Lepisosteus oculatus: one gene and its partners. The protein of the gene in region 1 purifies or fractionates together with the protein of each later gene. This does not show direct contact. Links are inferred from orthologs where the notes say so. Each region holds a gene or a part of one and is shown on either strand. Other genes may lie near its edges.

Evidence for each region. The genes of interacting proteins can lie anywhere in the genome.
Region 2: the proteins of cdh31 (region 1) and plekha7b purify together in Homo sapiens (co-immunoprecipitation; 3 studies listed by BioGRID and IntAct, with this or other methods). This does not show direct contact. The link is inferred for Lepisosteus oculatus from reciprocal best matches to the Homo sapiens genes CDH1 and PLEKHA7.
Region 3: the proteins of cdh31 (region 1) and ctnna1 purify together in Homo sapiens (affinity purification with western blotting; 10 studies listed by BioGRID and IntAct, with this or other methods). This does not show direct contact. The link is inferred for Lepisosteus oculatus from reciprocal best matches to the Homo sapiens genes CDH1 and CTNNA1.

The regions. Positions count from the first base shown.
Region 1 is NC_090715.1:9,220,881-9,228,897, forward strand, and holds the start of cdh31 (B-cadherin), read left to right. Parts: upstream 1-5,013; 5' UTR 5,014-5,103; intron 5,104-7,392; 5' UTR 7,393-7,628; coding exon 7,629-7,679; intron 7,680-8,017.
Region 2 is NC_090716.1:10,984,948-10,992,760, forward strand, and holds the start of plekha7b (pleckstrin homology domain-containing family A member 7), read right to left. Parts: upstream 3,013-7,813; 5' UTR 2,975-3,012; coding exon 2,892-2,974; intron 2,768-2,891; coding exon 2,691-2,767; intron 2,528-2,690; coding exon 2,470-2,527; intron 1,950-2,469; exon of another isoform or gene 1,853-1,949; intron 1-1,852. UniProt on the Homo sapiens protein: Required for zonula adherens biogenesis and maintenance. Acts via its interaction with CAMSAP3, which anchors microtubules at their minus-ends to zonula adherens, leading to the recruitment of KIFC3 kinesin to the junctional site.
Region 3 is NC_090706.1:36,611,345-36,619,284, forward strand, and holds the start of ctnna1 (catenin alpha-1), read left to right. Parts: upstream 1-4,928; 5' UTR 4,929-4,948; intron 4,949-5,018; exon of another isoform or gene 5,019-5,124; intron 5,125-5,423; exon of another isoform or gene 5,424-5,481; intron 5,482-7,940. UniProt on the Homo sapiens protein: Associates with the cytoplasmic domain of a variety of cadherins. The association of catenins to cadherins produces a complex which is linked to the actin filament network, and which seems to be of primary importance for cadherins cell-adhesion properties.

The DNA.
Region 1 (8,017 bases):
GTGGTGACCCAGCACCCTGCATGTCCCCTGTCGTATCAATATACAGTATGACGCAGGCACTTACTTTTGTGCAAGGGTATTGTGAGAGCAGCAGCAGTACCAAAACTATTGGTAGTCTTAACACAACACTGACAATAGCGCGTATATCCGTTTCAGTAAACGCTCTGCGTCGTACAGTATGGTGCCGCTGTGAGGCGGTTGAACCTGATTTTTTAAATGGAGGAGGGTCGTCTCCGCACGCAGGCCGTTAGTCTGTCTTGTTGCTCGGTTAGCAAGCCAGGTTTGTGTTAACTCCGGTTTACAGAGAGGAACAAACTGCGCTCGTTAAATTTAAATGTGTTTACACTTTCCGATGAATTATTAATTTCGCAGCTGTCCAGCTGTCTCGGTTTAAACCGGCGGATGTCATATCAGCTTTGAAAGCGTACGACATTATTGTAGTCAGGACTGTACCCTATATATTTTTTTCAGTATATATACTGTATATACGTTTATTTTGTGATAATACAAAATGTGTGCGCTGGTAAGACAAAATTGATCCTTCTGTTATTTTAAAGTTAGAGGTGTTTGGGACTGGAAACGTTTTATAGGATTGACGTATGCATTTGTGATATATTCCGATGCCCTAAAAGTTATTGTATATACATAATTATCCAGTTAGGTGTAGATTTTTATTTTTCTAAATGATGGGTGCTTAATCACTGTGTTGTGACATTAACTGTGTTGTGGTGACATTACACCGCGCTAGAAGATTGAATTTCTTTTGGCGGGACAGGGTGTAGTCTGGTGTTTGAAAACCTCTTTGTCTTTATTAGGTAGCTGGAGAAATTAGCATTTCATCTGGCCTTTGTTGGGAGGTGGGGGAGCACTCCACTCCCTCATCTTGTATGGACTGCATGCCTAAGGGGTATGGAACCAAGACACTACACTTTTTTCTTTGTAGTTTCTGCATTCCTTCTTGGGGCTTGGTTTTATACTGAGCAAAGTTACTGAGACCCAAGATTTTGAATTCCGGAGAAGATTTTGCTTCTTAAGAGTGCCCTTAGCCATTTACTAATATTCTTAGTATATGAATTATAATGCACGTTGAAAATACTGCGTTTAAGAGGTTAGATTCAGAGGTACAAAAGTGGTTAAAATAAACATTTTCTTCCTAAATGAAAAAAAAAATCCTGGTTACACCCTGGATTGTGTCATTGACCCATCACACTAAGACCTTGTGATCAACCTCCTCTGTAGATGCATTTAAAGGCCACAGGGTCTATCCACAATGTGCTGCCTCTGAATCACAGCCACTATAAATACAAAACCACATTCTGATACTGCATGTTAAGGAAACTGAAGCATACCATTTAGATTTTTTTTATTCTTTGTATTTTTACATTGCAGGAGTAATACAGAATGAGCAGCTAGAGATGCCATTTTGGGAATAAATACAGTATTGATTTACTGTACAATCATCCAATGACAGATCATGCTCTAGATTATGAAAAATAACCTTAATTACTTTTTCCCCGCTTCTGATAATTAACAGTGTTCAACTATCAAAAAAAGTCTTCATAAGGCAGCATGAATGGTTGTGGTTGTCTAGAACATTCTACCCAACATTGCTTATTTCAAGAAATGGCTGGATAAGATCAAGCCAGATTAATTAGCTACTAAAAGTGAAACAAGCTAGGAGGGCAAAATTACTTCCTCTGCTTTGGTTTGCATTTTTTTATTCCAGAGTATGTAATGGATAATCATACCCACTGTTTAACCCGATGGGAGTTTCACTTCACAAGACCTCAACATCAGCAGAGGTTTAATATTCCATAAACTTTGAGATGTTAGTACATTCTTTAAATTTAATAATACACCTTTTAAGACTAACATCTGGCACTCCTATGAAAAACTGAAACTAACACTAATGATTATATCATTGTTGTGAAACCCAATATTATTTCAACCACTGACTGCGACAGGTGATAACAGGTTTTACAGCATGTGCTTAAACATATATATTTTTTCTTTTTTAGGGACTGAAGTTCAAAACCACACCTAGTATGAAAGGGAACTTGTCAGCCATTTTGGCTGTGTTTATTTATTCATGTTTATGTTTCAAATGCTTCACAATTTGTTTTTAAAAAAAACAGGTTATACTGACAGTTAGGTGAACATCTGCTACATGAAATCCAAAATACTGTGCATGCTCCCCGATAAACATTTGTTAGAAAGGTTTTATTAAACTAAAGGTTACATAAGGTAAGATATGTATACTCCTAACTTTAATTTTATAATTTTGTGTTTATAAAAACATCATCTCTGTTGAATCATTGCAAACATCTTTCTAAAACAAGCCTGATACGACCTTGTGATTCATATTTTTGTCTTCACAAAGTCACCTGTCTTTTCTAACAGTGGCTGCCTTTTAACATTCTCAGTATGCTTCCCTGACGGTAAACTGTACTGCATTTAAAAAGTCAAAACTAATCTGATTCTCATGGGATGAGCTTTTACCATTAAAATTAATGTGGATTGATTTGTGGAAGAAAATAGGGGGTGGTAATAAAGGGTCAATAGATCTAAAAATCATTAATAATTAACAAAAATAAAAATATTTTTGATATATTAAGATATGTTTTTGAGATGTATTGCTCAAAACTGCGAGTTTGCTCTTGTTTGAAGCAAAATGGGATTCCTTGATAAACAGCACAGTTGAAAAATGACAAGAATATCTTTTTTCTAAATATCTAGGATCCAAACCTCCCCAGTTTTCCTTTGATGAAAGACGTTTGACTTTACTATCAAATATTAATCTGAACTGAGTGGTGAAGAAATTAAAAAAATATATTGTTTTGAATTGACAGCACTATAGCACAGTGGTTAGAATTATTGTCCTGTAGCACTGGGTTCAGTTCTTGATCAGGGGTTATATCTGCGTGACTTTTGTACTGTATGTTCTCCCTATCTGTGCCTGGATTTCATCTGATATATTGTGCTCTGGTTTCTTCCCACAGTCCAAAGACATACTGGTAGGTTAAATGGCTTCTGAGAAAACTGCCCCTGTTGAGAGTGTGTGGTGCCTGTTTGTGTCTGCCTGAGATGGACTGGTGTCCTGCCCAGCATGTACCCTGCCTTGTGCCTGTTGCTTGCTGGGTTAGGCTCCAGCTGCCCTGAACTGGAACAAATTATTAGAAGATCAATGGATGGATTACTTTGAATTTCCATGGGTAAACCCAAACCACCATAGTGATTTTTTTTTTCTCGGTTTGGCGTGAGTTAAGTGTAATCTGAAATGCAATATATCACATAATATTGTATGTTTGTGGTGAATTACTGTACAGTGGTTATTATCCTGTATTTCAAGCTCTGGTCAAAACAATGTATTTTAGAGTTACTTATACTGCAAAAAGAAAGTGATGAGAGTACTGTTAGGTATCACAAATAATGGAAACCAGCCATAATGAAAAGGTTTCAATCACTATGAAGAAATGTTCATACATAGGTATTTCTGCTGCATTATAGGGGTTTTAATAATGGATCTCCATGGAGTCTCTGGGAACGTTGAGTAAATACTAAATATACGTCTTTTTCTTTCCAGCTTTTCCTGCAAGTATTTGAAGACCTTATTGTGGCAGACAATGTTTTCTGTTTAATGTTCTTTTTTGCTTTATTACATTTTTATAATGTTTGGGCCTTATTCAAACATGTATGATTAAATATAATACACATTTAAAATAACAACTGAAACCCAATTAATCATAAAAAATGTTACTTAGCTTTTTAAAAATAATGATGTTACAACTTCATTAAGTTTAAAGCTTTCATTTGTGCATGAAGTGCACCTTGATTTTCACAATCTCTTACAAAACATGCATACAGAAGGAAGACCTAAAATACAATGTCATGTGGCAGGGTATGTCTGGCAGTTTATGTTGGAAAGAAAGGCGTTTTTTGTATTTGAGAAACAAGAAACAAAAGGTCAACTCACTTGGTCTAATTTGAATTTCATGTTACATTAAAAATGAAATAAAAACTTGATGCGTTGTATTTTATGACAATTAGGAGAACTTCATGAGGAGAATAACATATAGGCAGAAAAATGTTTTTAAATCTAATCTATTTAGGTTTTTTTTTTATTAAAACTGAATATCAAACGTCTATACCCAGAGGCTGTATGCCTTTCATTTGTCTGAGCTTTATGGCTTTATAGATATTAATTGAAAACAAAATTTGGCTTGTGGTACTGTACATGGAAGAATTACATTCTAATTATAATTGTTATTGCTTTACTGTGGCATATGTTTTTCATTTTTTCACTATGATAGTATACAGTGCTGCTACGTTGAAGCATGTTCAAAGCTTGAAGATGTATACAGTATATCTGTTAAATGCATATTAAAGTTGTGCTAAAACTGATGCCTAGTTTAAGTACTGCAACAATGCCTGCATCTCCGCTTGTCTGTGCTGACATGACTCTTATTTTGTCTTTTCCTCACCTTAATATTGACCTTTTATTTTGTTTTGTATAAAAGAACCACATAAAACAAGATGTTTAAGGTATTCCTTAAACATTCCTTTTGAAAATCTTGATGAAATATGTGCTTCACTTACAAAAGGGTAAATTGTTTTATTTCACTTTTAAAACACTAACAAAGTGAAATACACGAAACACCTGAAATAACCATATATTTTTAGATCCTGCAAAAAACCTGTCCTTTTTACAATGGAACACTAAAAGGGTAACTCATATTCCGTCATATACTTTACATCCGTAAAGTAAATATAGAATACGCTGCATTTGTATTGTGTTAATTATTCATTGTAATACTTTAGAGAATGCTCAATACCTGTATCATATTACTCTAAATGTTAATTAGCACCAAGTCAGTGAAAAACAGTTTTCTAGTTATGGACAACAATCTAGGTTTTTCCAATTCTGAATGGGGCAGGCTCTAGGATCTCGAGGGTCTGCCACCAGGAAGAGAAGCTGAATAGTGCTATTCAGTGTACTGTGTGCAGAATGAAGTCAGTATACATATGCTCTCTTCATGTGTACAGTCTATGCAAGTAAGCCAAGAGCGCCTTCAGAAAACTTTGTTTCACCAGTTTTGAGAAAAGGTAAATAATTTCTTATTTTTTATTAATGAACTTATTTCTTTGCAATTTTGACAGGCTTCATATCATTCACAACAATAGACATTTTAAGGGTGTGAAACAACATCTTACTCTTGCTACTAAAGTAAAAAAGATGGGTAGGAATAATATGTAAGGCTCATGTTGCCTGGCCTTAGGACAGCATTTTGAATCTGTATTTCTTTAGAACCTGAGAGGAAGTAAACATGGATGGGTGTGTTTACTTCCATCCTAGGTGTCCAAGGGTAGCTTCAGAGGATTGCTTCATACTAACTGTATGTGATGATGAAATGGCTTCTGAAATGGCAGGAAAGCAAGAAACATTTTGTATTTTTTTTGTAATGTCTCTTGGTTTGACAATTGCAAAATGTTGCTTGATGTATTTCCTTTATGTATTTATTGCAGAAATGATCCTGTCCTCTAACAACTGCTCTTTATATATGACCTAGCACATGAAGTATCATGACCAAGTGATTAAAAACATCTGTTCAGCACTGCATTAGGTTCTATATTTAGGTTGTATGTTGTTGGTATTAAGTAGTATAATTTGTATAGGTTCCTTTATAATGCAGTAATTCTAATAGATGTATTGATTGAATAACTACGTTAGTTGTCCATGTTTCTGATGAGCCACCAATAAATCAATTTTTTAAATGTTCAGTTATATTAACAAAAAATGTTGTATTTGTGAACAACTCTATAAAAGAATGCCAAAGGGACTACTTCAGAGAATGTTTTATTGCCATCTGGCTGGTAGTACAATATTAACATTGGTAGGTCCAGCCTGTTAATGAATAACTTCAACAGACATTTACATTTCGTTCTCTAACAGAAAGTGGTGAAGATTTGAAACTGACCAAGCAAACTATGATTTTCTTAATGTAAGGGAAGAATGTCAATATGAGGAGTGTTATCCTGATATAAATTTTGTCTTCATATCTTAAAATACACACAAACAGGTAGTGTCCCTTTCAGTGACTTCAGCGTTCTTATTTCAGTCATTGAGCAATGCAGATTTAGGTTTATTCATTAAAGTATATTTTATTAAACCTGGAACTTTCTGTTATGTTAGTTTACCGAGGATCAGCTTGTTGATAGCAATATTTAGGGGTTCCAAAATGGTATAAAATCTAAGAAATTAGTTCTGTTTTCCAATGAGTGAAACTGGAAGAGAAAATCTGGCACTTTAGAGGCCATTTAATCATTGTACACTATTACAAATGAGATTAGAAAGAGATCAGTTTGTTCATACAAGCATTTGAGAAAATGTACAACTGGAAGTGCTTTATGCATTATTATAAGTGCTTCCTTAATTGAATAAAGAAGTAAATGAAAGACATCCATGAGGAGAGTTTTTTTTCTTCCTTGATGTTGTCAGTGGGTTTGTTTTCTCCTTCGATAGTTTCATGAATGTGTTACCTAAGTATATAGACTGTATTTCACAGCCTCAGAGGATTCTCAGTTTGTGTGATGAATTTCAAAACTGCTGTTTTACCTAGAGAATCCTTCATTGGATGGATGGAAGTACTTAAACCAATGAAGGGATGATAGAGTCTTTGGCTTAAATTTGGCTTTTGAAGTATGTAATTAAATATTTATAGAATTAAATTAATCTTTTTAAATGGTCTTAGCTACTTTATGTAGTAAAGTGGGAGGGTTTCAATGTCACAGAGTAAAAGATTATGAGAACCTTTTGATCTCTGCCTTGTAATACATACTTTTTGACTACAGCTGTCTTTAAAGTACTTTGTTAAAATAAGAACTTACATGTGGTTACTTCGTTTAACCAGTTTTTAGGTGACAATTCATTTATTTCCATTAAGAATTAGTTAATTTGTACCGTCACAAATAGGACCATATAAAGAGGGAATCAGGGAAATCATTGTAGTATTTTTCGTTATCTAGACGATGTGAAAAGATATCCTGAAATCTACATAAAAATAAAACTTGAGTTTGATTTATAGTGTTTTTTGTCAATTTGCACAATGCTCTTTTACACGCAAATACTGTATATGCCTCTATATTCTGGCATTTCGAAAAGCGGTGTTTCAATATATATTGTCTTTTCATTTCTGGCAATGGGTCTTTTGAATTAATACTGGGAAATAAAATTAAGATTAAAATCAGGAAATGCGTTTAATCCGTTGTTTCCCAGAAATAAAAATGGTGACATAAATGTATGGGTGTATCCTCGTTTGTAAGAGGGGGAATTCACTGTTTGAGAACTTTATTAGCATTAGGACCCGGAGATTTACACCCTCTACCTGTTGGCAGGTGGTGATTAAAGGAGCTATGCCCATAATTGGAGCCCGGAGACGTTAAGGAAGGGATGGGCGAGGTCACCTGTACACGTCACTGCATGTTCGAAACTACCTAGGACCGAGAGTTTCGCAGTTGCAGCCTCTGTTTTGAAGGAAGCACACCTTTCCACAAGGTTGAAAGACTCTTAAGGATTTATAATCAACAGATTTGGGCTGCAAATAAGGGATTCTATACAACCTTTCAAACTGATGGGGAGTGTCAGGAGTTTACAGCTGGGAGTAATCCTTCTCTTGGTCCAGGTAAGTCTTCGTGTTTGATTGAAAACGACCAGATCCACAAAGAAATCTCGTTTGACCCAGTATAACAGTTCTTACAGCACGTAGGTTTTAAAGCATCCGATATTGTAGTTTGTATTTATGCGTTTTAGACCCATTGAAAATCCTTTCAATGTGTTCATATAACGTAGATCAGTCGACATTAAAAAATTATGAAGCCTGTAATAACTTCCTGCTGATTGCTCTGTTTTAACGCTACCTTTTAAAGCAATCCTAGAAGAAAATCTATTAATAAAAACGTTTCACCAAAAAGCCTTCAGAAAAAATATTTTGAAAGTTCTTAAAATACGGCATTACCTTTT
Region 2 (7,813 bases), on another chromosome or scaffold:
CTGGGAGTCCCTCAGTACCAACACCAGAGCCAGCACTGTTTGGAAGAGTAACACAACGGACAGTAACATCACTGCAAACTCACAGGTGCACCATCATCAAACCAATGGTGCACCATCATTTTAGCAAGCCCTGTGAATGGAACAGTCACTTACTAATGGCATAACCCAGTCATTCCTAGACTATGGGGAAACATGGAGTTAAAACAAACAAACAGCATTACTTTCAATAAAGTCAGACGTACCAGCATGTCTTTGTCAGACTATCAGGGCAAAGACCTGTTTTGCAGAACAAAGACATACCACATTAATGCACTACAACCCAGGATTGCAGGGAAGCCAGTACCTATCCCAGCGAACAATGGGTGCAACACAAGCTACACCCTAGACAGCATGCCAGTCCATCGCAGGGCACACAGACACAGGGCCAATCTTCCCAGAAGCCAATGAAGCTACCTGTCTGCTGTTGGACTGTGGGAGGAAACTGGAGCACCCAGAAGAAAACCACGTGAACAGAGGGAGAACATAGACGCTGATCGTACCCAGGTCAGAAATTGAGCCCAGAGCAATGCTACCCCCTGCATTACTGTGCCACCCAATACACTACCAAACAAATTCAAATAACCTGAACAAGCCATTGAACCACAAATATTCATTCTGCCAATTAAAACGTGCTTCTACAGTAGCTTAAAACTTGGTACTGTTCCAGATGAACTGTACTGTTAACACTGCTAATGGACTCGAACAATGCTGAAGACGAGAAATTGTTTCTGGTGTATGGCACTTCACAGCTGTCTCATTCGGATCCAGCACTTGTTTCAAATGACCCACAACAAATATTTACCTCTGTAAAAATTCATCAGCCCCCAGAGAAGAACAAACACAGAAAAACATCCTCTGTTTATTTGTGGATTTTTCTACGGTGCCTGTTCTGTATGAAGAACAAATAAAAGTATTCACTTCACTCGGGTAAATCCGATTTCTCATTTTATAACAGCTAAGGAAAAAAAAGACATTTTTAGCAATATGTGGAATAAAAAAATGCAGCGTCATTTGCACTGTTACAATTGTCAGCAACGGTATAATGAAAACATCTCAAAGGAAAACAGAGCTACAGAAGCAAGGAGTAGTTTTTTTTTTACTGTACATCATGGGCACAGTGTCTGTCGACAGCTTGCATCTCACATCACATAAATTCCCTCAGTGTGTAATTAATTCAAAACTTTCTAGTCGGCTTCACTTTTCTGTTAACTGTATTATTCCCTGCAATGAAAACTAAGTGCTCAGAGCCGGGTGCTATTTTTATACCCAAATGTCCTGTATATCAGAAAGCTTTTTTCCCCCAAGAATGAAATATGTGTCGCAACAGGTTAGTGTTTGCTAATGAAATTAAAATATCTATGGGTCCCGAGTTCACTCAATCCAGACAGTATCTTGCGCAATAGTGCATACTAATTATTTAGTCAGTATTCATAATATTCATAATAATTGCACTGCATTCCTCCGTTTCAGATAGCCAGGAAATCGTCATGATAGCACGAATCAAGGACTTCTTAAACTACATTTCTGCAGTTCCATACACACTTGTTTTTGTGTCCCAACTAAAGGCGTTGTTGAACTTCACATCAGGGTTAAACGGAATGGCTATAGGCAAATAAACATTGTCTAACAGTTGACAACGCATTCATTTATTTTACTAAATATACAAATAATAACTAGTTAGAAAAAGTCACAAACGCTTTTTTAATAAGCTGTACCTAGCTGTTTGTTAGTATTCATGTTTATAAATACTTGCGCCGAGCTGCTACATTGTTGTTTTCATACGCTATACTCGGAAGTTTTTTAAATGTATTACCTCAGAGCAGGCAAATGTAACTTTCTGCCGCGTAACCAACATCAAATGTATCCAACGTTTTAACAGCATTTGTATCCGACACAGGGAACTGTCCAGTCTATTCTAACTCCCCTGCACAATTTTATACAGAAAGAACTCCCCAATGAAGACGACTGTACTGCACAATGCCACCACAGCCCAAACTACAAACTTGATACGGGAACTAGTTGCGTTGGTATGGGTGAGCAAAGGAGTGATAAATCTAGACTTTGAACCACAGTTCACCCCTTGTGTTTAACACGGCCGACAAGCAAACTTGCGCTTTCTCCTTATAGCCCTTCATGATCACGCACTTGAATTGCGGTCGCAAAGTACAAGACAATACTATTCCACAAACTACAGAAAGTGAAAGTCAGATATAACCAGGAGGACCCCCCCATCTTTAACTCTCATTCATTACGCTAACACCTTCTAGGTAACTGATTTGAAGCCTGAGCTGTAACTTGAAAACATCTTGAATGCAACAGGTTGCAAAAACATATGCAGTCGCTAATCGAACAGGGGCTTCACAGCTCTGATTAGCGACTGCATAAAATTGAAATTCCCAAAACTTGCGCAAGATGAGAAAGTACACTCACTTTATAAAATAACTGGCCCCTTCTTCTGTAAACCCTTCTTCCCATCCTCGCGGGAGATCTGGAGATAGAAAAGACCCAAAACATAAAATTGCTTTTACGCGTCGGCGAACTTTTGTTTCTTTTGGTTTCGAAAAGGTACGTTCTGGAATTCTATCACTCTTGGGAAAAGCCCAATCCTGATTTTAAAAAAAGCCAGGTTTCTGACTTTTAACACAACATACCTGATCGTATCATATGCCCCGAATTGACAGGTTCACCAGTTCGAGGATGAAGCCAAGTCGTGCTTCGAGTTTCATCACTGTAGGGGAAAGAAAAAACAAAACACCTGTTACGGAACAAAGAAGTCCAAGAGCAACTGTCCAAAGCAATCTGTGCAGCGACTCCTCGTATAGCTTCCAGGCAGAAGAAAAGTGCACGCTTACTTAATGAAAAACACCCTTCCGTCTTTGCAAACTCCATAAGACCAGTGTTCAGGTAAAGTATCCCGCCCGAGCGGAGCCGCCATGATCTTGGTTTGAAGTACTATTTCATTCTCTTCTCCGTGGAGTCTCCAGGGAATCCGAGACTCATTAATCACCACTAGGGCCGCTGCGCTCTTAAAGGGGCAGGTCTGGCTTTTTATGGTTGCGGAGAGTAGCAAGTCTTTGCAATCTTATTTTCCCAGCCGACAGAAAATAACTTGTTGGAAAACCGCATTCGGTTCTGGTGGATGGCGCGGCGCACAAAGCCAGTTACTGCCACCACGAATTGTAATTAGGGAATTAATGTCGCAATTGAACAGTCGGAACGTATGCTAAGGGATTTAGCGTTAATACCGCTAAAAATCTCTGAATTGTAAACATATCGCTGTCAAAAGTCCTAAAGCAACAAGGGCATTAAGTGGGGGGAGTTCTGCAAAATGTACGGTATTTAACTGGGGCACTAAATGTGAGGTTCAGATCACAATATACAGACAGAAGGATATTTCAGTAGTTGCGTGTCACTGCTGATCCAATAAGCGGCTTTATGCAGGCGAAAATATAGATAAATGCAATTCATTACAGGTCCAAGCCTCTCTTTTTTCCGAATTGAAAGAGGAAGTATTTGTATAGTTGAATTTACTATTTCAGGTTACCAAATGCAAATTACACACCAAAGCTATCGAAAGCTAGTTTCTCTGCAAACATCTTTGACACACAAACGGCCAACCTGGGTGAAAAAAGTCATCACCTACTTTACATACCTTTCCAATTATTAGGAATAGAAAGAGTGTAGTTAAACAGTAAACCGCTCAACGAATTCAACAAACACCTCTGAAGAACGTTATGGGAATTATATCCTGGTTTCTTTTAAATGCACCTGAAGGTATACCTTTGAATTTTATGTCCTTTGTCCTTTGTGTTGCTAAAAGTGTTATAAAGCAAAGTTCCTTTCAGTTAGAGACTGCAGTCAGTATCAACAAAGGAAAAAAACATCACTGTCAAGCTATTTTGATTTTTCCCTTATTGCGTGATTATACTCGGGGTTCAATCAGATATACAGTAGGTAACACAAGAAAGGACACTCGTTTCTTTGATTTCAAAAACCTAGAGACATAAAACAGCATTTGAAGAATTCATGACTGAGATACTGTATATATATATATGGTAAAAGGACATCAAAAAGGCTGGATGTAGAACAAGCCAAGAGGAAAACACTGTAAACTCTTTAAAGTTAAAGATGTGTGTCACTGACAGGAAAGATGAATGACATTGTATGACCCTGAAAAAGTTCAAGGACACGATCAAATTAGGTGAACGGCAAGGTTATGTTTCTGGTTTAAGTTATATGAAAAACAATTCTTGGAGAAATAATTCTTCTTCCAAACTCAAACTGGTATTTTTGTCACTTTATGACCAGTTAAAGTTGAAAAATGTTTGCAACAGAGTATCCTAAGGGTCCTGTAAACAGAGATTTCTACGCCATAGTTTTAGACATGAACCCCAGTTGTATTATACTCCTTAAAGTAACATTCATTAGGGGTTTATTTTGTGAAAAACATCATCTCCTTGACAGCTTAAATAGATCTATTTTTTAAAGTACTTCCAAAACACACAGTCAGGCAGAAGCAACGATGTAATACCATTCTTTCTATGATCTCATTTGCGTTTCACTTTGATGTTTCCCTTGGGAAAAGTAATGCATTTGGGTGCGTATCTCTTTTTATACTTACGCTGTTTTATTATTGCTGCAGATAAAGAGTCATTTTTAAAGCACTAACATAAGCCGCCTTGATTTCTCAGAATAGCTCACATCGATATATGGCACCAGTCCTATTTATAGAGCTACAGCTCATCTAGCATGGTGTGTGGGGTGGAGACACGAGGCAGTGAAATACAGATAAGTTTGGGAAATATTTGATGCTGTCTTCCCATTCATCTCTAGGACAAAACGAAAATACTGTACTGGAAAGAAGGAGAGATTTATTCAGAAACCCTGATGTGTATACAACTGTGCTGGTGTGAACATGATGGTTTAGTTCAGGCAGGTGCTGCTCATCACAGTGTGTTCTCTGAATCACACTGGTGTAACTATATATGGAGGAAAGTGTGGAGAGCAGCTCAGCATCTCACCTGCAAGGAACAGGCAGAGCAGAGTTGTCCAATCCTGGTTCAGGATAGCCACAATCCAGCAGATTGTATGAGTCTGCCTTAAAGCAAAAATAATTAAACTCTGGTGAAGTTGTGCACTCTTTACTCCATGTACTTACATTTTTATCGAATCAACATTCTGACATCAGGGATGCCTTTATCATTTGATATCATATCCTGACGATCAATCCATGCTTGATTCATTACTGATACCTGATCACCCTTAAATCACCAATTTCTAAAACACTTTAAACAATTTTGTTTGGACATCTTAAGCAGGTGCGTACAATTCGATAGTTTAGAAAAACTGAAAAGCTGCCAACACTCCTTAGCTCTCGAAGATCACAGCTGGACACTCATACCTTAAGTTCCATTCATTCATTTTCTGAACCACTTTATCCAGAACAGGGTCTCAGGGTAGTAAGAGGCTAGCCTGGCAAGCAATAGGCGCAATGGGCACCCTGGATAGGAGGCTAGTCTATCGCACGGCACACACAGACACACACACTCACTTCAGGGCCAATTTTACAGAAGCAATACACTTTTATTTCCCTGGACTTGCTGCTAGTCATCAAATAGCCAGAGAATATAAGATAAGAGTGGCAATCTTCATTTTGTGATAGCTAGAATGCTTGCAGTTTCCTGTTTTCTAGCTTGACCTTACTGCAGATATAGAAATCTCAGATGGGCACTTTCTGATCTTTTGTCTGCCCAAAGAAGGGCAGAGCAAGGTTGTCAAAAACAGGAAACCCAGAAGCAAATGGCAAAATGTTACTGGCTACCTCCTTTAATTCTAAAAAAACCCAGCCATTTACAGTCTGCCACTGACATAAGGTTGAGCTTATAAAGGGCAGTTAGTAATCATTCCATAAATACCACCAAAAGGCTATTATCCATCAAAACAATTAGAGACCTGTGAAAAAGTGGATTGTAATACACAGATTTTCCTAGCACACAGTTTTCTCAGATTCAGAAAATGCACTAGTGTTTATCAATGCATTCTATCCCTGAGAGAGGTCATTTTCTGCCTTCATTTGTGAATGGTAAGAGACATATGTCATTAACATATTAAATTAATTTACCTCATTAATTTAGGATAAGACATGCCCAGATAATGTTGTAACCAAAGCTGCCTCATTCACGAGGACTATAGCCAAGTATCTTCACAATATCACTTGGGACAGAGATTTCTTGGGACCTCAATGCCAGCTGTTTTTGTTCCAGATGAGCTCTCTGAATTATTTCTTCACAACAGCATGATGTTGGCTAAGCAGCATTGGCTCATTATGTCTAGAATCAAAATCCTGTGGGATAGCAGTTTAAATTTCACCCAGCTACTGTGTAAGCTCCTCAGAAAGAGAAGGTGATGTGCTGCCTGCACACACACAGACGAGAAAATGACTGTCAATGTCTGAATCAAATTCACAGATGACATGCTGATACCCAAGTCTAGCCTATAACCAACCAATCTGATTAATAATAAACCTGTGCTGAACACTTTAATCTGGGTCTTTGTTGGAGTGGAAGAGACTACATTAAAAAAAATCAAGCATAACATAAAACGCAATAATGGTCCAAACTGTTATGTGTCAATAAAGCAGCCCTGTATTGCTGTGGATAATGAAATAGATTTGGAAAATTATGGATTAGGCATGAACAGGCATGTGGAAACTGTGTCCATATTATTAACCATGACCTTCAATATTGTTTGTTTTCTGCAATCCCAAAGGACAGTAAAGGTTTTCAGCCATGATCTGCTATACAGTACATTGCAATAATCTTTACCCTGCATCATGGTTAACTGCCCAGTTTTCTGATGCTATCCTGTAATTTTAGCCAGACAGGGGGTACAGTGCTGTGTATCTCATGTCACTGCACTTTTCATAATTGAGGTTAAAGGAATGATTTTACTGGCAGATAAAGTGTACCTGCTTGTCCCTCTTCTTTCCTTCAAGTCACAGTTAATGTACTTTTGTAATAGGATTGCCATTTACCTCTTTATGGCCTTATGCCTTTCACATTCTTTATAACTCAAATTTCTTTTCCCTGCATTATTGTAGTGCTTATCTTGGTTTAATTATATTATAAAATTCAGTGCAGTATTTCTGAAAAATCACGCAATTAACTACAATGACAGATCATTGGGTCACTCTCAGTGTAATGAATATTCTAGTGGATATATGATATCCAAAAACTTCTTCTTCTAAGAGAAAAAAAAACAATTCAGTGAAAATCTTTGTTCATGGATAGGAGCTAAAAATATATGGATGGGCTTAATTTTAGTATAAGTAAATAACAACTATTTTTTGAAAAGTGCAGAAAACAGCTCTATAATAAGGCCTATACCATCAAACATCAGAGTGAGTAAAAAATATATCCCACTAAAAATCTCCAAGTAAAATAGTAAAGAGTGACAGATATTTCTGTCTGGTTTGGACAGCAACGGTTTTTTTTGGCAATGCACGGCTGCAAATGAATTGCGGTGACTTTTGATTTAATTAGCAGCTCTCTATTAAGCAAAGATTTGAGGGTTCATTTAAAACGTAGTCATTTCCATTTAAGGATTTTTATATTCTGTCCCTTATCAAAGTGTCACAGTAAGTGTGGAGATATATGGTCATGGATCATTGTGGTCAGTCATTTATTTATTTGAAGACCAATAATTAATCTGGCTGCTTTGTTTTTAACTCATTCTAAGGCGAAAATTTACTTTTTGAATCACAGAGACCAAAACT
Region 3 (7,940 bases), on another chromosome or scaffold:
GAAAGCCTTCGAGAGTAAACCTGATGCTTCAGTCAGTGCCATGTTAATGGACTCACAAAGATTCATCCTCCAGGTGACATCACAGAACTAAAAAAAATGTAAAGTCCAGACCACACCCATAGCTGCTCATCTGTGCAGAGCTCATCCTGGTTGCTGTAGTGATAAGCAAACTAGACAGTGCGTTACTGGTCTCCAATTCTGCAACTGGGTGGACAGGAACAACTGTGGTACCTGGCTTGTACCTCACTTAATGGTAAACAGCAATACCTGTCATAACCTGTTATAAGTTCGATAGTTTACCCATTTCACTATAAAACACCCATCATAGAAGGAATGAGATCAACAAGCCCCAATACTTCTATTTAATCTAGTAAGAGTAAGAGCCTGACCAAGGATTCTGTAAAATTTTGAATCTGCTGTGATTAGGATTCTATTAAAAATCTAAAGCCTGGTCTTGTAAAATCTAAATGAAGTCCTGTTATTGTTTAGTTAAATTAGAATTAGATTTTTAGTTCAGGAAGTTTATATATATCTTGTTATGAAACTGTTCAAATTTCTTTAATTAGCAAACAAAAAACAAAAAAAAAGATCATGGTTGCAATCTGACATAAATAATTTTATGTGGTCTGAATGGAATAAACTAGTTAACCGATGCTTGATCTACCACACATAAAATCTGAAAAGCTTAGTAGCCTGCATTCTCCATTTAACATCTTCAGCCTGTGACAATATTTTTAATAAAGAACAGATCAAAGAATAAGAGCGAGTAGGATTGCCTTCATAACTTGTAATGATCTTTATTTTTAAAAATACCTTTCATGACACAACATTACAAGGTATTTTACATTAACACAAAACAACCGTAAACCTCTAGCAGTTTATAAAAAGCATGCTTCTTAGCCTACATATCAGGGTTTTCAAGAAGATATGAAAACTGTTCAAACATCATGTGTTATTAAGCAAGAGACATAAGGAGGATTTCATTCACAAATACAGGTATTATGCATTTGAGACCACAGAAAATACTAAGCTACTAGACTACAGGAACATATGCATCCTGATTGCAGAAAAGTACTCCTGTGATTTTTTTCAAATATGATACTCCCTGATATAGACATCTGCACTATTAATCAGTTCACTAATTTTACAAAGCAATTGCACGCAGCTTTCATTATACAGATGTATGAAATACTGCACTGATGAGACTCGAATCTGCCTTTGATGACACAGTGAATTTCAAAGCGGCTTGTAAATGGCTTTCAGTATTTGTCAGCTGGGTGTGGTGCTTCCATTGAGACCATTTGAGATTCAGAAGCCCAGAGCCCATTAAACACAGACAGAACACCTTCAGACAAAACTAAAAGAATCCATTGGAGTGTGCTTTTATATAATATCGATTTTGTATTTCAGATGAAATTTAAAGCAATCCTAGTGGAATTTTCAACTCCATACTGTTCTATTCATTCAATTTACTTGGGTGGAATAATATTCCCTTTTCCATTATACAACCCAAAGCCCCTTTTAAAAACTAGGATACAACCTATTTACATTAAATAAATTCACATTTTACAGTGCTCATGCACTCTCATTACACACCCATGTAATTGTGAAGTTTGTCCTCATTAAACCCCTATCCTGAATGCATCGAATAGCTGTTTTTACAGGGGGTATCAAGTTTCAGTTCCTCATTAATCAGAATGAGATAGTGAGAAACAGTTCATTGTAACTTAGTTGACTCAAGCCATGCAGAGGGAACTGATTTTAAAGCAAAATGAAACTGAATGGTACTATAATCAGTTATTGTAAAATTATATACATTGCTTATAATTTTCTTTATAAGCAATGTAGACTTCTTAGCGTTTACATCATACAGTAGCTCTTTATTTAAAATAGGCCTTTTTTATACCCAGCAAATTATTATATATTTTACATTAAACAAATGCTGGATTGAGATAACAACGATGTTTTTCAAAATAAACCATTTTCATTCAAATAGGAGGTTATTGCTTCAGTCCGAATTGTCTAAATCCAGTGCAAAAGCAAAGTGATTGTTGTGTTTTACCTGTTCCCACATCATTATGTCTGAGCTATTAATACACTCTTTCATCCACAGATGTCGAAGTTAGATTTTGTCATGCCACTGTTTTGCCTTCAGTCCTTAATTGGTATTACGACCTATGGCTTCTGGCTTTTTAAATTTATTTATGTAAATTTATTTGTAGAAATGGAGCAGACAATTAAATGTGACAATAATTTCAACCTGAGAAAAAGATGCCCGTGCGTAATTAAATTGTTAAAGCTGTCAACCTTCTCCAGCACAGATAAACATGACATGAGAAATGACCATATTACATAGTAAAAGGAGCAAATGTTTGAAGAAGGAAAAAACACAGATACAGTGATTAATTTTTATGTAGAGCCATCTCCTTCTAACATATCATTTCTACCAAGCCTCTTATGTGTGTGCTCTATATCTATTTGTTTTTTATTTTTATGTTAGCTCCTAAAAATCCTTATACTGTCTATAACTGCCCTAACTCCATAAAATTCTAAATAAACACTTAGGTTCGGTAGAACACTTCAATAAATTTTTATATTAGAATTTGTCGGCTTTAATGACTGATTCTTTATATACTTGCTACTTGCTATACATGAACTGCCTGCAACATTTTAAAATCAGTTTTACAGCAGATAATACGCTTGGAATAGAACGGTTTTAGAATATGGTGGAATAAAATTAAGAAAAGGCAGAATAATATGTTGCCGACTTGAAGTTGGTATAAAAAAGACAACTACACTAGATAAATCAAGCAACCAAGGCAGCAAGATTGTAGATCTCTTTCAAAGATACAGCCACAACCTCACTTATACTCTATTTTGTCTAGTTAGACTGTACTATTCACTTGTTTCACTAATTTACTACAAAAATAAGTACTGTAGTACAATAAGCTGAGAAAGTCTTCCAGCTTCTGAACGTCTCAAAAGCTTTCTGGTTGTGTACTATAAGCATCTGTGACAAAGACACGGTTTTTCTCATGCAAAAAGGTCATGACTTGTATAAACATGCTTTCGGTGCCGAAACAGACATGAAATTATTCTTTCATAAGAATGGAGGCCTGTGAAGCAAAATAATGCATAAAATCAAAACCAACTGAGTTCCGTCAGTATCACAGGGAACCAACACTGTACTGTAAATGAACAATCTTGACAGGTTTCAAAATAGAGGTTTCTTGAAAGAGATAATTGGTAATTTCCTTTGGACCAGACACCTTCAAAAGCTACTGCAGGCTGTAAGAAAGGAGGACTTGTGTAGTTTCAACCCTCTTACTGACGTGTGTATAAAGTATTTGGGCTATTTAAAGAATAATGCCTCCCCGCAATGGTAAAAAAAGAAACATAAACTGATTGGATAAAGAAACAGCTCATAATTGGTGATCCCTTTAGATACAAAAAAGCTTCAATTAAACATAGTTCTCGCCATGAAAATGCAAGAACTATGAACACGGAACAAAGATGTCATTTGTCCTCTTTAAGCCTCCTTTGATGTAAGACAGGAAAGAAAAGAACTTGAATCATTTATGCCCTATTGCCAGATCTACAGTGCTTCTCAGGTACTCTCCTTCTGTTCTCATAAACGCACTCTCTGTAAGAGGCTAGAGGCTCTGTGTGATGTAACTCTGTCTTCCCACTGCAGTGACTCATGAACACCTGCCTTATCATACAGTGTTGCTTCATGGGAAGACAGTTACCCATATGCTTGATTCCTCCTCCTCCAGTTTCCCCTGATTGTTGAGTTCCAACTTTGATTTATTAACTGTTTCCTCCCGTTAAGTGTTTTATTTTAGTTTCTCAAAAAAATAAAATCCAACCTTTGTGAATCAGATTGTTATTAGCAGAACGAACTACTGCAAAGTTTTTATTTCTCTCAGATGTTCTTAGTCTTAGCGTCTTCATTCACTTAAGCATTGAGAGTCTCTCCTCCCGTGCCTCAGGTCATCAGACTACTGAGAATATCCAGCAGTTTGCCGAAATAGATATCTTGTTTTCTGCCTTAGGGAAACTGCATTTCAGTAGTTACAGAGATAGCTTTTATTTGCTGACATAAGAATGCCTGAGGATCTAGTACTGATAAAAAGTGCAGTGTAATTGTAAAGCTCAGGAATTCATCTAATATATTTACATGCAACGTTTTGGGTGGAGGGTGATTGTGTATGGAGGGAGTGGTGAAGCAGATTGAGTTCTCTCAGAGCTCATTTATCTTATCGGTGTGGCAGGGAGAAACGTATTTGCAAAATAAGGAATAGCATTGAGTATTAAACTGTTATTCAGCTCATTTTGGCTTCAGGATGTAATTATGCACACGTTTTATAAAACATGAGAAATGTATCTCATACGAGCACTTTTAATCCTTGTAGGTATTTAAATATGAATTTTGGCGGTTTCTTTCTAAAGGCTCTTAGCACTCAGTAATACAATCACAAATCATTTCAATGAAGATAATCAAAGCACATAAATGACGTAACATCACACACAATTCAGACGTTTAGCCGAAACTGACCCTAAACTGCTTAGTCCTCCTACACGATTAAGTTTTAAGTGCATTAAAAGCGTCGTGTTCAACAAGCCTATGTAAGTCTCGGTGGTTTATTGTCGTCTACGGGAATCACGAGTTGTGAACCTCCGACATCACAATAAAAAACCGAGAAGGCCTCGGGATTTAAACCACACACGCCTGACAGTCGAGTGCACGGCTGTTTGGAAGCACGGAAGGTAAAAAAAAACCAAACAAAAAAAAAAAGAAACAGAACATGCTCACTCCCGCAGACAAACTGCACCCAGCGTTCAAAAACAGTAAAACAAACAAAACACGTCTTGCAAACTCCAGGCAGCGAGCCGCGACTTGCAGACACCTGGGACGGAGAGAAGACGTCATCGCGGGAGCCCGCAGGTAAGCGCGGAGCTCGGCCACTCCCCCGGCACACCTGACCGCCTGGGTGTGGGCGCCTCGCTGTCGGTCACCGAGTCACTGCCTGTGTGTTCGCCATTCCGGGAAGGAGTTAGCACCCCCCCCCGCCCCCTACGTGGAAAAGGCCAAAAAAAAAACCTTGGATAAAGTTCGAGAAGGTAGGGCTTGTTTTTTTTCTTTACGTTTTATCCCGAATATAAGAAACGACGTAGGCGAAGGTGCGAGTTAGCTGACTTTTCGGAAGTTTATTTTCTTCTGGGGAGGGTGATTCAGGGATTCAGCAGCAGCAGCAGCGTAGGAGTGGCGTGTAACAGCCGCGCTGATCCCATTTCCTCTCGGAGTTGGGAAGTTTGGTGGAGCGGAGGAGCACGGGCGAACGGGAGGGATAAAACGACGGAGTAAAAAAAAAAAAAACTTTTCACGAAAACTTCAAAACTGAACTTTTTTTGTTCATTAGGGTTTCGTTCCAGGGGGGAAAAAAAAATCGCAACATCGGAAGCGGCGTGTGTTTCAAGGTACGCATGAATCGTGTTTTGAACAATTGTAGCTAGAAAAGAGCAACACAATCGTTTGTTTTGAAAACAACGCGATAGGCAGGGTTCATCCATTTTGACTGTTTTAACTTGGGAGGGTTCACCGTTTTATTCGAGCTTTCCTCTAAGCGTTGTGTGCTTAAAAACCTTTCCCATTAAGCACCGTTGTATCTTTTCCGACAGTAATTCGAAATGTGAGCATAAGAAGTCTATTTTAGAAGCACGATTGACTTAATTGTTTATGGGGAAGAATGGCTTCTCCATTTCATTTCAGGGCTGCCCTGCCTAAAAGTAATGAAGTTTCAGAAGGGAAACTAAATTAGTGTTTTTTTAAAAGTCACGTTTTACGTGTGTTCAGATCACGTCCTGTAAGTTTTAGTATTCATTTTAAGTTTAGGGGAATGCTGGTAGTTCTTACTTTTTGACCCCCAAAAAAACATGCTAAGCACAGACTTAACCACAGCATGAGTTTTAAAAAAGTTACTCAACAGGGTTGAAACACGCTCTGCCTCCGACTTGTTTCTTTTTTTTATCCTGCGGCTTTTTAAAAATAAAAGCGAAGCAATGAATTTGTACAAATTTCCCATTTTTTTTAAAGGACCAGCGTGTGAATCGCATGAACTTTCGTGCGTCTTTTTAAAGTAGGTCCGCCCTACCATCAGACTATGTAATGATGTTCCCTTAGCTTATGTGTTATTTTTTTTTAAAGTTTTGAGCTGGTTACTGTACGAACGTCGGTTCTGTTTCGAGCCTGCACCCCAGGGCGATTGAAAGTTAAATTAACATGGCCCAGGATACTCCCATGCTGGTCGGGTCCGTGTTCCGCCCTTCATAATCTGGGAATGATCCACCCTTTTTACTGATTTCATCAGGAATGTGCCAAGCCGCTACCACCTGTGTTGTTGTCTTTTTTTGTACTTCTGTTGTCTCTTGAATGTTGAGACGAACCAAACCAGATACGCCACATCTCCCAGAAAATAAAATATACGTATATTTTCGTGGTGGGGGTAGGGTTGGGCTGGGCACTCATTAGGCAAGAACTTCCGGTTGTCCCAAGCGCGTAGTAATGCTGGGTTTCCCGTTTCCCGATATACCGTGTCCTTTAATTTCAGTATCGTCCTCCGTTGCCCAGTGTTTGCTCTGTGGGTGCTGCGATATCAGGCCAGCCTCGGTGGTCAGGGGTGGTTTTTAAGTCGGACCCTCTACTGATGGTGAATTTGAGTGTCCCCGGTGTAATCACTTCTAGCAAGGCTGCAAACGTAGTTACGGTTTTAAAAATAAAAGTAACTCGGAACAAAATACTGACAGTCCTCCGTGCTGCTTCTGTATCAAATTTAGCGATTGGAAATAAGACTGAAAAAGTTTTACATACTTCCTAGGCAAGTAGGCGTTAGGGTATTTAACAATCTTTACGAGACTTTCAGTAAATAAAGGAGTGATGGACTGTATACCGACTCCACCTGTCTAGTATTTTTCCTGTGTGTAATGCGAAGTCTGGCTTTATTACAATAGAAACATCTAACATTTGGTTACATTTTCGACTAAATGTCTTTTAATTAGTTCAATTTGCAATCATAGCTCCTGTTTATTAACACTTGTCACTGCTAATCGGGTTTTGAAAGCGTGGGATTTATCTGGATAAAACGTGGCTATTGTGAATGCTCATCAATTCTTAGAAAGTTATTTATATTAAAGTTGCTGCCCTCTCGCTTGTTTCTAAATTGAATTCTGAACAATAACTTGAAAAACATTTATAAAATAATAAAGACTATTGTAAGACATGGCTAAAAACGTACACCTGACTAAGCTTTTGTCAAGTTCAAAGGAAATTTCTGATAAATTGGAGTACTTCTCCACAATAGAGTTTGCAGACTTAAGTCTTCAAATCAAATGTCTGGGGAAGGTTGGAGGCTGTTACAAATGTTGCAGAAAAGTGTGTCCTGGTTCATCCCGTTACAATAATAAACCATTTTTAAGACAACAGAAACTTATGGAAATACCTGGGCCAATATTCAAACTTGACCCAAACCTAGCTACCTAAAATGAATTTCAGATGGCTCTGACCCGATGTGGTATTTTGTAAGAAGGGTCTGGTTTGCCCATAACTGTCCACAACCGATTAGTAGGTTTGAAATTGAAAGGGGGTGGGAGGGTCCAATTTGTGATTTAAGGCAAGCCTTGGTTTTTTACACTGCTCCTAAATTGACCTGTTTCACTGCACTGTGTAGCCTACCTGTATTTAAGATGTGGAAGCTCTGTATCAGGAATATCTTTGCTTGACTTTTGTGTAGCGGGTTAATTTGCTCCCTGTGTGTGTTCAAAAACGGAATAAATGAAGTTCCATTTTTATGTTGTAATCCGTTTAGAAATTAAGAGGTGGGAATGTTCAATTTCTGAATTTATCCTAAGTAATAAATCAGGGTGGCATTTTTTTGTTGGGT